Cricetulus griseus: one gene and its partners. Each later gene encodes a partner of the first gene's protein in a complex. Links are inferred from orthologs where the notes say so. Each region holds a gene or a part of one and is shown in the gene's direction. Other genes may lie near its edges.

What was found. Proteins that work in one complex are often made in the same cells at the same time.
Region 2: Ncapd2 (region 1) and Ncaph share a complex: the UniProt entries of both Homo sapiens proteins name them as parts of the condensin complex. The link is inferred for Cricetulus griseus from reciprocal best matches to the Homo sapiens genes NCAPD2 and NCAPH.
Region 3: Ncapd2 (region 1) and Smc4 share a complex: the UniProt entries of both Homo sapiens proteins name them as parts of the condensin complex. The link is inferred for Cricetulus griseus from reciprocal best matches to the Homo sapiens genes NCAPD2 and SMC4.
Region 4: Ncapd2 (region 1) and Smc2 share a complex: the UniProt entries of both Homo sapiens proteins name them as parts of the condensin complex. The link is inferred for Cricetulus griseus from reciprocal best matches to the Homo sapiens genes NCAPD2 and SMC2.

Annotation. Positions count from the first base shown.
Region 1 is NC_048601.1:21,244,336-21,247,853, forward strand, and holds part of Ncapd2 (condensin complex subunit 1), read left to right. Parts: intron 1-442; coding exon 443-558; intron 559-830; coding exon 831-1,055; intron 1,056-1,494; coding exon 1,495-1,669; intron 1,670-1,892; coding exon 1,893-1,977; intron 1,978-3,476; coding exon 3,477-3,518. UniProt on the Homo sapiens protein: Regulatory subunit of the condensin complex, a complex required for conversion of interphase chromatin into mitotic-like condense chromosomes.
Region 2 is NC_048599.1:51,411,577-51,415,094, forward strand, and holds part of Ncaph (condensin complex subunit 2), read left to right. Parts: intron 1-1,433; coding exon 1,434-1,582; intron 1,583-2,117; coding exon 2,118-2,224; intron 2,225-3,433; coding exon 3,434-3,518. UniProt on the Homo sapiens protein: Regulatory subunit of the condensin complex, a complex required for conversion of interphase chromatin into mitotic-like condense chromosomes.
Region 3 is NW_023276806.1:84,122,519-84,126,036, reverse strand, and holds part of Smc4 (structural maintenance of chromosomes protein 4), read left to right. Parts: intron 1-45; coding exon 46-173; intron 174-1,590; coding exon 1,591-1,731; intron 1,732-2,501; coding exon 2,502-2,652; intron 2,653-3,518. UniProt on the Homo sapiens protein: Central component of the condensin complex, a complex required for conversion of interphase chromatin into mitotic-like condense chromosomes.
Region 4 is NC_048595.1:91,427,854-91,431,371, reverse strand, and holds part of Smc2 (structural maintenance of chromosomes protein 2), read left to right. Parts: intron 1-643; coding exon 644-877; intron 878-1,930; coding exon 1,931-2,090; intron 2,091-2,488; coding exon 2,489-2,606; intron 2,607-3,518. UniProt on the Homo sapiens protein: Central component of the condensin complex, a complex required for conversion of interphase chromatin into mitotic-like condense chromosomes.

The DNA of each region.
Region 1 (3,518 bases):
AGGGATTAAACTCAAAGTCATTAAGGTCTGTGGTGAGTATGTTTCCTGTTGAGCTATCTGGCTAGCCCAGGTTTGTGATTTGAAAGCTTTAAAAAGATCCACGTTCGAGGCCAGCCTGGTCTCCAGAGCCAGTATCAGGATAGGCTCCAAAGCTACACAGAGAAACCCTGTCTAAAAAAAAAAAAAACAAAAAACAAAAAAAACAAAACAGAACAAAACAACAACGAAAAGATCCACATTCTTTGAAGACTACAGGAAAAGCTTGATGTTTGGGACCCAGTGTCCTAGTAGGTACTGCTCAGCTTTTTAAGCATAAGGCGAAGCCCTTTTCTTTAGGGTACTATGTGTAGAGACTGCATGGAATCATGAGGTAGGATCCCTTCAAAGGCTTCATTGACACTCTTCTGGGTGCTGAATTGGTGACAGGCTGGTATTTTTCTAGGCAGGCTATTATTCTCACTCGAGAAGCCACCGGCCACTTCCAAGAGTCTGAACCCTTCAGTCACACAGACCTAGAAGAGACCAGCTTCCTGAATCTCCTGGGAATTATCTTCAAAGGTAACCCTTTCAGTTAGCAAGCACAGCCTCGGGCTGGAGGAGGCAGGGGAGGAGGGGCTGGTGCTGCTCTGGAACGGCAGTGGCCTGGTTGTAGGGAACCTTTGCAAACTAGAGGGGCCTCCAGGAATCCATTAAGAAATGAACCAAAGTGTGTTAGAGTAGGTTCTAAGTTCATATGTTTACATTGTGGAAAGAAATACACAGGGATGCTGGCACCCACTGGATCCCCCAGGTACACCTGACAAAACTTCTTGTACCTCTCTAATTCCTAGGCCCTGCAGCTTCCACACAGGAGTCTCATGGGGACACAGTCCCAGCGCCAACTGACAGTAAAGACACTCCCAGTGTGTCTGAGCCTGAGGTACCCCAGAGGGGCGATGAGCTGGTGAAGCAGGAGATGCTGGTGCAGTATCTGCAGGATGCCTGCAGCTTCTCCCAGAAGATCACAGAAGCCATCAGCATCATCAGCAAGATGATGTATGAAAACACAACCACAGGTAGGGGGCGCTCTTGAGAAAGGACTGGCTGTAAGATTTCGTTTACTTTTATGTGTGTGAGTGTTGTTCCTGTGTATATGTGCACCACATGTAGTTTGGTGCCTGTAGAGAGCAGAAGCAGTCAGATCGTCTGGAACTGGAGTTAGGATTTGTTGTGAGCCACCATGCGGGTACTGAGAAACTGAACCTGGGTCCTCTGTCAGAGCAGCCAGTGTTCGTAACCACTGAGCTATCGTCCAGCCCCTGATGCCTGCACCATTAAAAGTCAGGGAGTGTTTACCACTGTTAACATTTTACAGTTTACCTAGTTTAGCCAGTGTCATGTCTCAGGGACAATGACAATGACTTCTACTTTCATATTGCTGTGTTGACAGGGATTCTATCTGTGAGTAGTATAATACTTGTCAGGTAGATGGGTGACATTTGTATTTGTTCTCAGTGGTGCAGGAAGTGATTGAATTCTTTGTGATGGTGTTCCAATTTGGGGTACCCCAGGCTCTGTTTGGGGTTCGCCGCATGCTGCCTCTCATCTGGTCTAAGGAGCCTGGTGTCCGGGAAGCTGTACTGAATGCCTACCGCCAACTCTACCTCAGCCCAAAAGGGGACTCAGCCAGGTATATGGGGTTCCTTGTCTTGGTTAACTTCTCTGAGGTCAGCTTCTCTGGGGATTTCCAAAGTGTCCTGAGGCTATTCTTCCAGGGACTTCTGAACTGCTTGGTACCAAGCCCAGGGTCAGTTTCTGCTGAGGCCTACTTCAAGCAGTTATTTAACCTAACAGCCTGTTTGTCAAGTCAGCTTCCCAGTCATAGTGACCACTGATGTCTACTGTTCCCACAGAGCCACGGCCCAGGCCTTGGTACAGAACCTCTCTTTGTTGTTAGTGGACGCCTCTGTCGGAACCATCCAGTGTCTTGAGGAAATCGTAAGTCCCCCTCTCATTCAGCAGTTAGAATTAGTGGCTGCTTCCTGTGTGCAGAAATCTGTTCAGCCCCACAGAGATTTGAGATTAGTTGCTTTCTGATTCGCAACTTTATATTTATATGCCTGGTGTTTGCTACTTTGAGGCTGTCTTCTCACTGTGTAGTCCCGGCTGGCCTCATGCCCACCATCCTGCCACGGCTTCCTCAGTGTTAAGCTTCAGGTGTGGCATATGTAGTAACCGTAAGCAGTAATAACACATGCTGTTTACTGTGTGCTGGGCGCTATTCTTACCACCACTGGGCACCTCTGGGTAGTTCTTTGTGTATGTAGAATGGGATTCTGTGAGGGAGGCTCAGAGGTTTCACAACTTGCCTGGCTGCAGCACCTTTTTTTTTTTTTTTTTTTTTCTTTCTTTTTTTTTTTTTTTTTTTGGTTTTTCAAGACAGGGTTTCTCTGTGTAGCTTTGGAGCCTGTCCTGGAATTTGCTCTGTTGATCAGGCTGGCCTCGAACTCACAGAGATCCGCCTGCCTCTGCCTCCTGAGTGCTAGGATTAAAGGCGTGCACCACCACCGCCCAGCTTTGACTGTAGCACTTATACAGTACAAGCTCAAGAAAACATATCCAGCCTGTGTGCTGTAACAGAGATCACAGAGCTGCTTACAGTGAAGGTCAGGGGCTTGGTAGTAGGCAACGTGGGTCATGGAAGTTTAGTCAGATTGAGAGAGAGGAGAGAATTTGTGTCAAAAACCAAAGAGAGTCCAGTAGCCTATCTGGAGAATGAAGAAGTTTGTTCTGACTCAAAACCATTATCTTCAGAAGATAATCAAGCTGGGAGCATGAGCCTTCAAGTCAAAGGACCCTAGGTTTTCATGAGGTGAATCTGCGCTGCTGGAGTGGTGCCATCTGCTGGGCCTGGCCTTTGTTCCCTCTGGGGAAAGAGAGGACCTGGGGGTGGCAACTGCCTCAATATTTCCCAGCTGCCTGCTGCTTGTGACTTCTGCAGTAGGCAGAGAAGAGCTGGCCTGCCTTTCCCATGCCAGCCACCTGGAGAACCGTGGGCAGGGTAGAAGTGCTGCTCGAGGCTCCCGTAGGTGTGCAGTGATGAGAGACACACTCAGGGCTGGACCACTAAAACGAATGAATGCACGTGTAAAGAAGAGGGGGTTGCGATTGCTGGGAAATGAAAAGACAAGAAGGATAGTAACCCTGTCATGGACAGGTTGACCAAGAAAAATTATAGAGATACTCAGGTGGTCAGGATGGTGGTCTACAGCAAACTCAGAAGATCCATTGGAATGCTTTACTTTAGGAAGTGTAGCCTTGAAGAAAGACATGGGGTGGAAAAGTAGAGAATGGAGCAAGAAGACCCCCTCAAAATCCTGTTGGACATTTGCACCCCCTTCTCTTCTACTCCATCGAGGTCTCCATGTTGTCTTCAGACAAGTAAACCAGCAGGGAACTGTTATTTTGAAGCAGAATTATTTTTCTTTTCTCCCCAGCTTTGTGAGTTTGTGCAGAAGGATGAGATAAAACCAGCAGTG
Region 2 (3,518 bases), on another chromosome or scaffold:
TATAGAGAAAGCCAGTCTGCTTTTATTATTATTATTATTATTATTATTATTTTCAAGATGGTTTCCTGGAACTCACTTTGTAGACCAGGCTGACCCTACACTCAGAGTTCTGTCTGCCTCTGGCTCTGCCTCCCCAGAGCTGAGATTAAAAGTGTGTGCTGTCCTACCCTGTGCCAGTCCCCTTTTTAAAGCTTTTTTTTTTTTTTGCTTACTCTGTAGAGTGTCATAGGACTCATGGTCAACTCAATGCCAGTGCAAAGCTCCTCTCACGGAGAGACTAAGTTCTCCTCACTCACCACCTTTATCCTCACAGGGTGGCAGAGTTGCACTGGTGTGCTTCCTAGTGCCTCAGCCTGAGGAGAGGGGCTCCCTCATGTCCCAAAGCTGCCAGGCTGCCAGGCCTCTTATGTGTATCATACACAGCACACGAAGCTGGGTGACCTAAAATTACTAAAGGGACTCTCCAAGTGTTTGGGGAACAAACTATGTAAACTGGAATATCCTTTTCCCTCTTAGGAGGAACTAAGGCAGTGCCTGTGGATTCTCAACAGTGAAAGAATGGGAACTAGGATTCTCATGTTTTGTGGCAAAAAACACATGTGTGAAAGGACCCACGTCTGGATTCAGAGAGTTGCATCCAGCTACCTGCTCTGGCATCCTGTGCTTGCTCTTTGAGACTAAATATCATTGTGTAGCCCAGGCTGATCTCAAACTCAAGATCCTCCTGCCTCATCCTCCCTAGTTCAGGGGTTATAGGCATCTGCCACCATTCCCAGGCCAGCCAGAGCTACATAAGGAGACCCTGTCTAAAACAAACAAAGAATCCTTGACTTTTGATTAGTATTTACAGAGCACTTTGGAACAGCCAACATATTTGTATAGTTACACTTTGTGAGAAAATTAGGCAAAAACTCTCAACAAGTAAAAACTTGATGATTTTTTTGTTTTGTTTTGAGACAGGGTTTCTCTGTGGGTTTGGAGGCTGTCCTGGAACTAGCTCTTGTAGACCAGGCTGGTCTCAAACTCACAGAGATCCGCCTGCCTCTGCCTCCTGAGTGCTGGGGTTAAAGGCCTGTGCCACCACCTCCCGGCTGGTGATTTCTTAATGAAGGGTTTGCTTGGACTTAGAAAGGTTGCTTCTGGGACTAGAGAGTCCACATGGTGGTTCACAACACTGTAACTCCAGTTCCAGGGGATCCATGTCCCCTTCTGGCTTCTGGAGGCACTAGGTATGCATGTGATGCACATACATTGATACAGGCAAAACACCCATTTTATAAAATAAAATATAAAAATACTGAAAAAGAAGGAAGTGACCCTTTGTGGTAGAGGAGGTGGGGTAGCATCTCTAGTAACACCAACTTCTTTATATGTAAATGCATGGTTTATGTTCTGTGCCGTATACATGAACAGTTGGTTTTGTTGTGTTACAGGGAAGAAATTGTTTCCCTCAGGGACAGAGACATCCAAACCATGTGCTCCTTTTTATCCATGAAACCTGGAGAATACTCCTATTTCAGTCCCCGGACCATGAAGATGTGGGCTGGCCCAGATCACTGGTTCTTTCGGCCTCGACCCAAGCGTAAGTACTTGTGGATGGGACTGTAAGACAATGCCATGCAGCACATACTGCCTGCCAGTCTTCAGTCAGCAGGGAAAAGAGACACTGCTGATCTCTGTCCTTCTCATCTTCTGAGGAGGTGCTGAAGCAGAGGGGCTGAGCCAGCCTCCTGGCTGCGCAGTGGTCAGCCACAGGAGGGTCAGTTAATGTTGAGTGGCAAGAGTAAGCCTCTGAGTCTGGGGGACAGGCCTCATGACCTCACTCTGCTTCCTAGTACCCGTACGACTTCAGTTGTGTAAGTGGCACAGGGGAAGTCCCCTATAGTCTTCCAGGCTCCGTAAGGAAAAGTGGAGTATACACTGACGCCTGTGTCTAACATAGCACACATGCTGCACTTAGCTGGACCCGGGATATGTGATTTTACCGTATTCCACCACTGTAGTGATGCTCAGCCACACATGCAGTCTTGTGCTTGACAAGGCCTTTAGTGGATGTGAGATGAGAATAATGTTGGCACAGAGGTGAATAATGTTATAAACTGTCTTTACTTCTGCAGAAGATACTGCCTCCCACGTGGAGAACAAAAAGAAGAGTTCAAAGAAAGACTTTGAAATTAATTTTGATGATGATATTGATTTTGATGCATATTTTCGGAAAACAAAGGTTTGTGCCAGACATTAGTGCCTTCTGAGATTACTCTGCTCTCCTCTTGCCCTTTCTGACAGGGTTTTCTTTTCCTTCCTTCCTTCCTTCCTTCCTTCCTTCCTTCCTTTCTTTCTTTCTTTCTTTCTTTCTTTTTTTAAGACAGGGTTTCTCTGTAGGTTTGGAGTCTGTCCTGGAACCGTCTTTGAAGACCAGTCTAGCCTCAAACTCAGAGATCCACCTGCCTCTGCCTCCCGGGAGTGCTGGGATTAAAGGTGTGTGCCGCCACCACCACACAGCAAAACTCATCGGCTGACGGACACCTTGGTGTCCATTGGATCGGCGCCGAAGTGCCTGACAGGGTTTTCAAAAACCACTGTACAGCCTGGTGCAACATCCCGCCTTTAATCCCAGCACTCGGGAGGCAGAGGTTCTCTGAGTTCCAGGCTAGCTGGGGCTACATAGAGAGTCTCCATAACAAAGAAATAAGTGGAAAGTTACGGTGTATTTAATTTTTGTTTTCTAGAGATAGGGTCTCCTGTGGCACAGGCTGCCCTTAAATTTGCTATATAGCTGAGGCTGGTGTTAAACCTCTGGTCCTCCTGCCTTTATCCCCCAGATGTGCCCCGGTACCCAGCTATAACTTTAACTGATAAACACGTACTCTTTTCTCCCTCATCCCTAAGGGACCACTGAGAAATAGTCCCAAAGCCAGTGCCAGGGACAGGCAAGCTCAGCAAGTGAGACAGAGTGACACCGTGTTGTCTAGTCTCATGCCCTTTACAGCCAGGCTAATCATGAACTCATTACAGGATACCTGCCTCAGCCCCCTGAGTGCTGCGATTACAGGCATCTGCTCTCATGCCCAGCACAGTCACTCATCATAGTGACCAGAGAATTGGAAATAGTAGAGTAATGCCAACCCTTCCTAATCACCTTTAAAATGGTATATATCATTGTTATTAAGAAGGCTTTTTGGAGCCCATTCCCTATGGAGGGATACCTTGCTCAGCCTAGATAGATACAGGGGGGAGGGCCTCTGTACTGTCCCAAATGATGTGACAGACTTTGATGATCCACCATGGGAGGCCTCACCCTCTCTGAGGAGTGGATGAGGGGTGGGATGGGGGGGTTGGTGGGAGGATGGCAGAGAGAGGGAACTGGGATTGGCATGTAAAATAAGATTGTTTTTAATTTAAATAAAAAAATGTCCTTTTTTTTTATGAATAGGCTGCCACCACTCTGACCAAGTTCACTTTGGAGAACCAGAATTGGAAAGTCACCACTCTTCCCACAGATTTCCACTATGAAACAG
Region 3 (3,518 bases), on another chromosome or scaffold:
TTTGACTTTATATATGAAATATATAATTTTTTATAATTTTTGTAGTTAAACAGAGTTAAAATGGTGGAAAAGGAAAAGGATGCCCTAGAAGGAGAGAAAAACATAGCCATTGAGTTCCTTACCCTGGAAAATGAAATATTTAAAAAAAAGAATCATGTCTGTCAATATTACATGTAAGTACTCTGGTCTAAGCATCAAAGCCTTTTTTTTCTGTAATGTGATTTTTCTAAAAGTCACTACTCACTTTTTAGTGTCCTATTTTAAAAGTGGAAAGAAGGAAGGAAGTTATACCATATGAGTAGTAATAGTGCATGTGCTAAGGGATAATATTCAGAACCTGACAGAAATCACAGGCTGTGCCAAACCCTTATGTATGTACTATTTGTGTCCTATAGAAGTGCCACAAAATCAGAGTTAATCAGCTCTTGCAGGATGCAGTTTTTGTTGTTTTCATTATTGGTATAATTGTACAAGGGTAGGTGGGTGCTAACTTCCCCAGGAAGGAAGACAGTTTTCAAGGATCATTCTCTCCTAGTAGGAGGTTCCAGAGATAAAACTCAGGTCATCAAGTGTGTCCTGAAAGCACTTTTACCTTCTGAGCTATCTCCCCAATCCATTGTGGGTTTTTTGGTTTGGTTTGGGGGAATGTGTATGTGTGTGTCTGCCTGCACATGAGCAAGCGTATGCATGTGCGTACACAGAAGCCAGGGCAAAATATGGAGTGTCTTCCTCTACCCATCTCCACCTCATCACCTTACAGGATGTTCCCTAAAACAGAAGTTCCAGCTAGGCAAGCTAGCCATCAGGCATGCTCCCTACCCCACCCCCTAATGTTGATGTTAACAGCACACTTAACCATGGTGCTGCACAGTTTACCTGGGTGCAGGAAATTCATACTCAGATCTTCATTCTTAAAAATCAAATGTTCTTGCTTAATTGAACCATCTCCTCAGCTCCTCCTTACATGTTTTAGGCCCTTTGCATTATTAAGTATAAGGAGAGTTACTTGAACTACTAAGTGAGTATAGGGCTGGTATGTACATGTTGGTATACTGAATGAAAGGAAAGATTAGTAATGCTAGCCAATGTACGTTTTGAAATTGTTTATTTCTATAATTTACCTTTTAATATTTTTAGATGCTAGTCTTCCACAAGTAACTGAAACTTTGAAATGCAAAAACAATGAGATACTACTTACTATACACTGTTGAATGATAGATCTGATTTATTGTTTGGGTTTGGGGGGGTTGTTATTGTTTTTGTTTTGTTTTTTTGTTGTTGTTGTTGTTTTGAGAAAGGGTTTCTCTGTGGCTCTGGAGGCTGTCCTGGAATTAGCTCTTGTAGACAAGGCTGGTCTCAACTCACAGAAATCCACCTTTCTCTGCCTCCAGAGTGCTGGGATTAAAGGTGTGTGCCACCACCGCCCAGCTTAGATCTAATTTATTAACTGGACCAATTTTGTTATTAAATTCTATCTAGCCTTAACCCCACTTCCATAGACCTCACTTTGCTATAAATTGATGAATAAATATGTTATAAGCAGTTGATTTTACTGATGATACTTTGCATTCTCCTTATTTTCTCCTCTAGTTATGATCTACAAAAAAGAATTGCTGAAATGAAAACTCAAAAGGAAAAAATTCATGAAGATACTAAAGAAATCACTGAGAAGAGCAATATGCTTTCAAATGAAATGAAAGCTAAGAATTCAGCTGTGAAGGATATAGAAAAGTAATACTCTTTAGGAATTTTTTTTTTATTCTTTTGTTTTTCTAGACAGGTTTTCTTTGTGACTTTGGAGGCTGTCCTGGAACTACCTCTTGTAGACCAGGCTGGTCTTGAACTCACAGAGATCTGTCTGCCTCTGCCTCCCAAGTGCTGGGACTAAAGGCGTGCGCCACAATCGCCTGGCCTCTTTGAGAAGTTTTAAATTCAGTTTTTCACATGTGTCTACATGTAAACTTAGAGCAAACTTTGAATGTAATACATTTCCCAGCAAATAGTTCATTTAGGCACCAGCACTTCCTATACCTAGCTCACTGTTACAGATTGCCCAACAGTCATACCGTAAGGGATGTCTTTCCCCTAGTGGCACAATATATAAAAAGCTAAAACATAAGCATTTTACCTGACCCATTAGCCCTAATTAGTTTACAAATTTGGTTTTGAAATAGAATTTTGGTTATTTTAGGTAGACTTTAAAAATTATCATGGCCCTATTCTATGCCAACTTTCAGTGACAATAGTATCTTTGAGTGAGCTTCATTTCTTTAATTTTTATGGACAATTTTTTATATACCTAGACATAGTAAAAGAACAGTCTTTCCACCTTAGAAATGAAAGACAGCTCTCATGATTTAAAAAAAAAAAAATTGTCAGCTATCAGGGAAGATCAGTGTAGAAGTTTTAGGATTCTAATTAAAAGGAGTTTTGACATGTTTGTGGAGGAAATATACCAGAAAGTCTATGTGTCTATGACTGATACTTACTTTCTTTGATAGGAAACTCAATAAAGTTATAAAATTTATTGAAGAGAATAAAGAAAAATTTACAAAGCTAGATTTAGAAGATGTTCAACTTAGGGAAAAATTAAAGCATGCTACAAGTAAAGCCAAAAAACTGGAGAAACAACTTCAAAAAGATAAAGAAAAGGTAGGTATTGGGGGAAATCAATTTTTCAAGTCTAAATACCAGATCTAGTTGTTTTCCCTAATTTGCTTGACTCTAGTTCCCTAAGAAGATAAATTGGGATGCTTATAAAAGTATTTTATGTCTTAACACAATTTTGTCCCAAGTTTATGAGTTTCAGAGTTTACATTAGTAATAATGTCCACCCAGTTAGCAATTCTGTTTCTATGGTGGTGATAATTTTCTTTTTCCTAAAATAGTAATGTGTAAAGGGATTTTGGGATATTTTATGTTTTTGTTGTTTTTTATTTTGGAGATAAGCTCTCACTATGTAGCACTTGATGGCCTGGAACGCACTGTATGTATCAGGCTGGCCTCAAACTCACTTAGATCCTCCTGCCTCTCTCTCTCTGCTTGGTTAGTAATGGTGGCTAAAGAGGATGTTTTTTATTAGATATTACAGTTTTTAAACCCCCCCCAAAAAAAATTACTTTTGTGTCTGCATACACATGTGTGCTATTACATGTGTCTGAGGTCAGTGGACAACTTAAGGGAGTTAGTTGGTTTACTCCTTTCACCTTGTGGGTAAATGCCTTTACTCACTGAGCATTCTTAGCAACCCCACAAACTTTAGAGTAATACTTGCCTTCTGCAACAGAGTTAGCAAAAAGAAAAGGCATATAGGTGACAGACTCTCTATTCTGGGGTTAAAGTTTTAAAATTGAATTTTGTGGCCTGGAAAGATGGCTTAGTGATCACTGGCTACCAGTACCCTCGTGTCAGCTCACAGCTGTCTATTAGTCTGGTCTCAAATGACCTCTGCTGACATCTGTAGGCATTGTATGCATGTGGCACACAGACAGACATTCAATAAACACTCATACACATAA
Region 4 (3,518 bases), on another chromosome or scaffold:
TTGGTGTCGCCTGACCTTGCCTTATTTTACCATATTTTCTGCCTTAGAATATAGACTTCCTAGACACAGGGTATAATCTGTAAAGTCTTGAAACAGTATCCAGTATATAGTAAGGACCTAGTAAATAGTAGATGAATTACAAGTAGTCAAGTGGCCCAAAATATCTGCCCATGTTTATGTAAATAAGGTCTTTTTTTCCTTAGTTGGTATCTTGTCTTGTGTGAGATATCTAATTAATATTACATAAAAGGAGTTAAGTATAGCAATATTTATTCTGCAATGCTTGAATCTTATGCCACTTTATAAAATATTTTTGTATATGTATTCTTAATCCTAAAACTTTTAAGCTTGATGTGGGGTGGTTATTGTTTTATAGATTTCAGAACTGATTTTTAGCTTTCCTAAGTGATTTCTTTAAATTTATTCCATTTTGCCTGGATTTTATTGTCCCATATGGAAAGAAAATGTCATATTATATAGGTGTCACATACCCAAAACAGCAAGTTACAACATGAGAATTTAAAGTAATAACAGTTAAATTACTTCTTTTATTATGCCCTCTCAAAATGCTATGAACTTTAATAACAATGTAAGTTGAAATTTTCTTCTAAAATCTCTTTTCACTTTGATATTCTTCCCCAAGGACTCTAAAACATTAGCAGCAAAGGAAAAGGAAGTTAAAAAGATAACAGACGGGCTGCACAGCCTTCAAGAAGCAAGTCATAAAGATGCTGAAGCTTTGGCCGCTGCACAACAGCACTTCAATGCTGTTTCTGCTGGCTTGTCCAGCAATGAAGATGGAGCAGAAGCAACTCTGGCTGGGCAAATGATAACCTGTAAAAATGATATAAGTAAAGCTCAGACCGAGGCCAAGCAGGTATGCACAGACAGTAAGCATGGGGTGGGAACTACTGCAGTTCGTGAGAAGCAACTTTTCACATTATGCTTTGCGTTGCTACAAAATCTTGAAAATAATTAGTTGAATGTCAAGGATTTTTAAAAATATCGCTAATCTCTAATGTGGAAAAATCTCAGTGCATTCATTGTTAAATATTGGTAACCTTCGATTGTCAAGAGCTGTATGCTATTTGTAGCACTGCTTGGAAGTATGCATGCATGCTTTTTCGTTAAGTGAAAGAGCCACCTTTAACATATTTACATGAAAACATTTATATGCTTTATTAATTAATCCTGATCAATTTAAGACATTTGAATTTACAAATATTTGTATTTTTTCATTCAGAAGTGACAGGCATAGAGTTTGTAAGAACTCAGTACTATTAAAGCTTTGAATTAATTTTTAATAAACATACCCTGAAGGACTTAGTAAAAGCTGATCTGTCATCATTGAGTTATAGACTGAGAATATTATAATTCTAAGGCCTGAGAATATATTCAGTTATACACCCTGAGAATAAAAGTATGCCATTAAAAAGCAGTGTTCACTTGTAGAAATTCATAGGGGTCAAAAGTAGTCACCATTGAATATCAGACTTTTGGCACTAAATTTCTGTCAGTGTACCTTCCCTTTTATGTATTGTTTTACACAGCTGTTTGCTGTTGACAGATACAATTCATAGAGATATGCAAATAAGGTTAGAAACACTCAAGTTGAAGACAACAAAATAGTGATATGTAACTGTCGGGTGTATTTTTAAATAGCTACTGAGAGTTATTCTCATGAAATTTCCCAACTTTGTTAATATGTCATACTGTATTAATACTAAGAATAGACATGTTCTAAATTAGTCATTTATGTTAATATTTTTAAGACATGAATACAGAGAAATTAACTTTTTTGAGTATTAATCCAGGAGACTACACAGTTCTATTTTCAGTTCTGATGTTTCCTTGTTAAATTGATTTGAATCTGTAGCTGTTTCATCACTAACATTGCCCACCTCATAGTCTGTTACACTTTCTGTCACAGGCACAGATGAAGCTGAAACATGCCCAACAAGAGCTAAAGAGTAAGCAAGCAGAAGTTAGGAAGATGGATAGTGGCTACAAGAAGGATCAAGAAGCTTTTGAAACTGTGAAAAAAGCTAAGGAAAAACTTGAAACCGAAATGAAGAAACTAAATTATGAAGGTTTGTCTTAAGTGTCTTTAAAGTCAAATCATGAGGAGGTTTTATGCATAGAAACTTTTTTTTTAACCTATTTGTAAACATTAGAGAAGTGTTTGGTCATAAATACAGTCAAAATTGTCTAAATTAGTCTAGTAAATTTTTGATACTTTCTTACTTTATCACTTGAAAGCTTAAAACTAGTGTTTATCTATGTTCACGTTAGTAGGTATTCAGTTCATATGTTGTTTCTTGCATTGAAAATTGTATGATTTTGATGTTAGAAACATGACCATTTGATACTTGGGAGATTTACATTTTGCTCCTTGTAATACTTGAGAAAGAGAGGCAGAGGCTCTGCTTCCCTTAAGTGGTCACATGTTTAAGACCTGCTTTCGAGCTCCTTCTGATTTACTTCTCAGAAAACAAAGAGGAGAAACTTCTGGATAAGCACAGGCAGCTCTCACGTGACATTGGTAATCTGAAAGGAACTTACGAAGCTCTCTTGGCCAGATTTCCCAATCTTCGGTTTGCATACAAGTAAGAGATTTAAGCAGTAAATAACCAACACACATTTTTGCTTGCACTGGAAGGCAATCTGGAAATTTTTCACAAGATTTTTAAGTTACATTTCTTTATTTTGTATTTTTTTCCTCAAATATTAATTAAAGTATATCAAATGTTGGATGTGTGTGTGGGGATTCTTTTGAAAATAACAGTGACTGGTATCACTCATCTTAAACCAAATAGGGTGATTTAGTCTCCCTCTGTTCAAACTGCCTTCACAGTTATTCTGTCATTACTGTTGCATTCTTTGATTTGATTTACTGCATGGGATTTTTATGACATCCGCTTTTCATCTTTTTTCAATGGCAGCATTGAACATTGAATTCTGGATGTCAGGCGTAAGAGGGAACCACCCCTGAGCTCTAACCTTTGTTACAGCATTATTTATTTATTTATTTATTCGTTTATTTATTTATTTATTGGTTTTTTGAGACAGGGTTTCTCTGTATAGCTTTGGAGCCTATCCTGGCACTCGCTCTGGAGACCAGGCTGGCCTCGGACTCACAGAGATCCGCCTGCCTCTGCTTCCCTAGTGCCGGGATTAAAGGCGTGCGCCACCAACACCCGGCTGTTACAGCATTCTTAACCATAATCATGTAGTAGAGAAATTGGAACACCAACGTTGTTTGCTGAACATTGGCTAAAAGGGACTGGAGAGATGGCTTGCTTTTAAGGGAGCAACACACTGCTTGTTCAGAGGACCCGATTTCAGTTTTCATTCCCCACATCATGGGCCTTATCTCCTACCTTTAGGGACCCAACACCCTCTTCTGGCCACCACAGAAATTGCATTCATATGCATCTACCCCCACAAAGATATGTGTATGCACATAATTGTAGATTAAACAATAAATCTGTTTTAACTTAGTGAAATATTTTACTTTT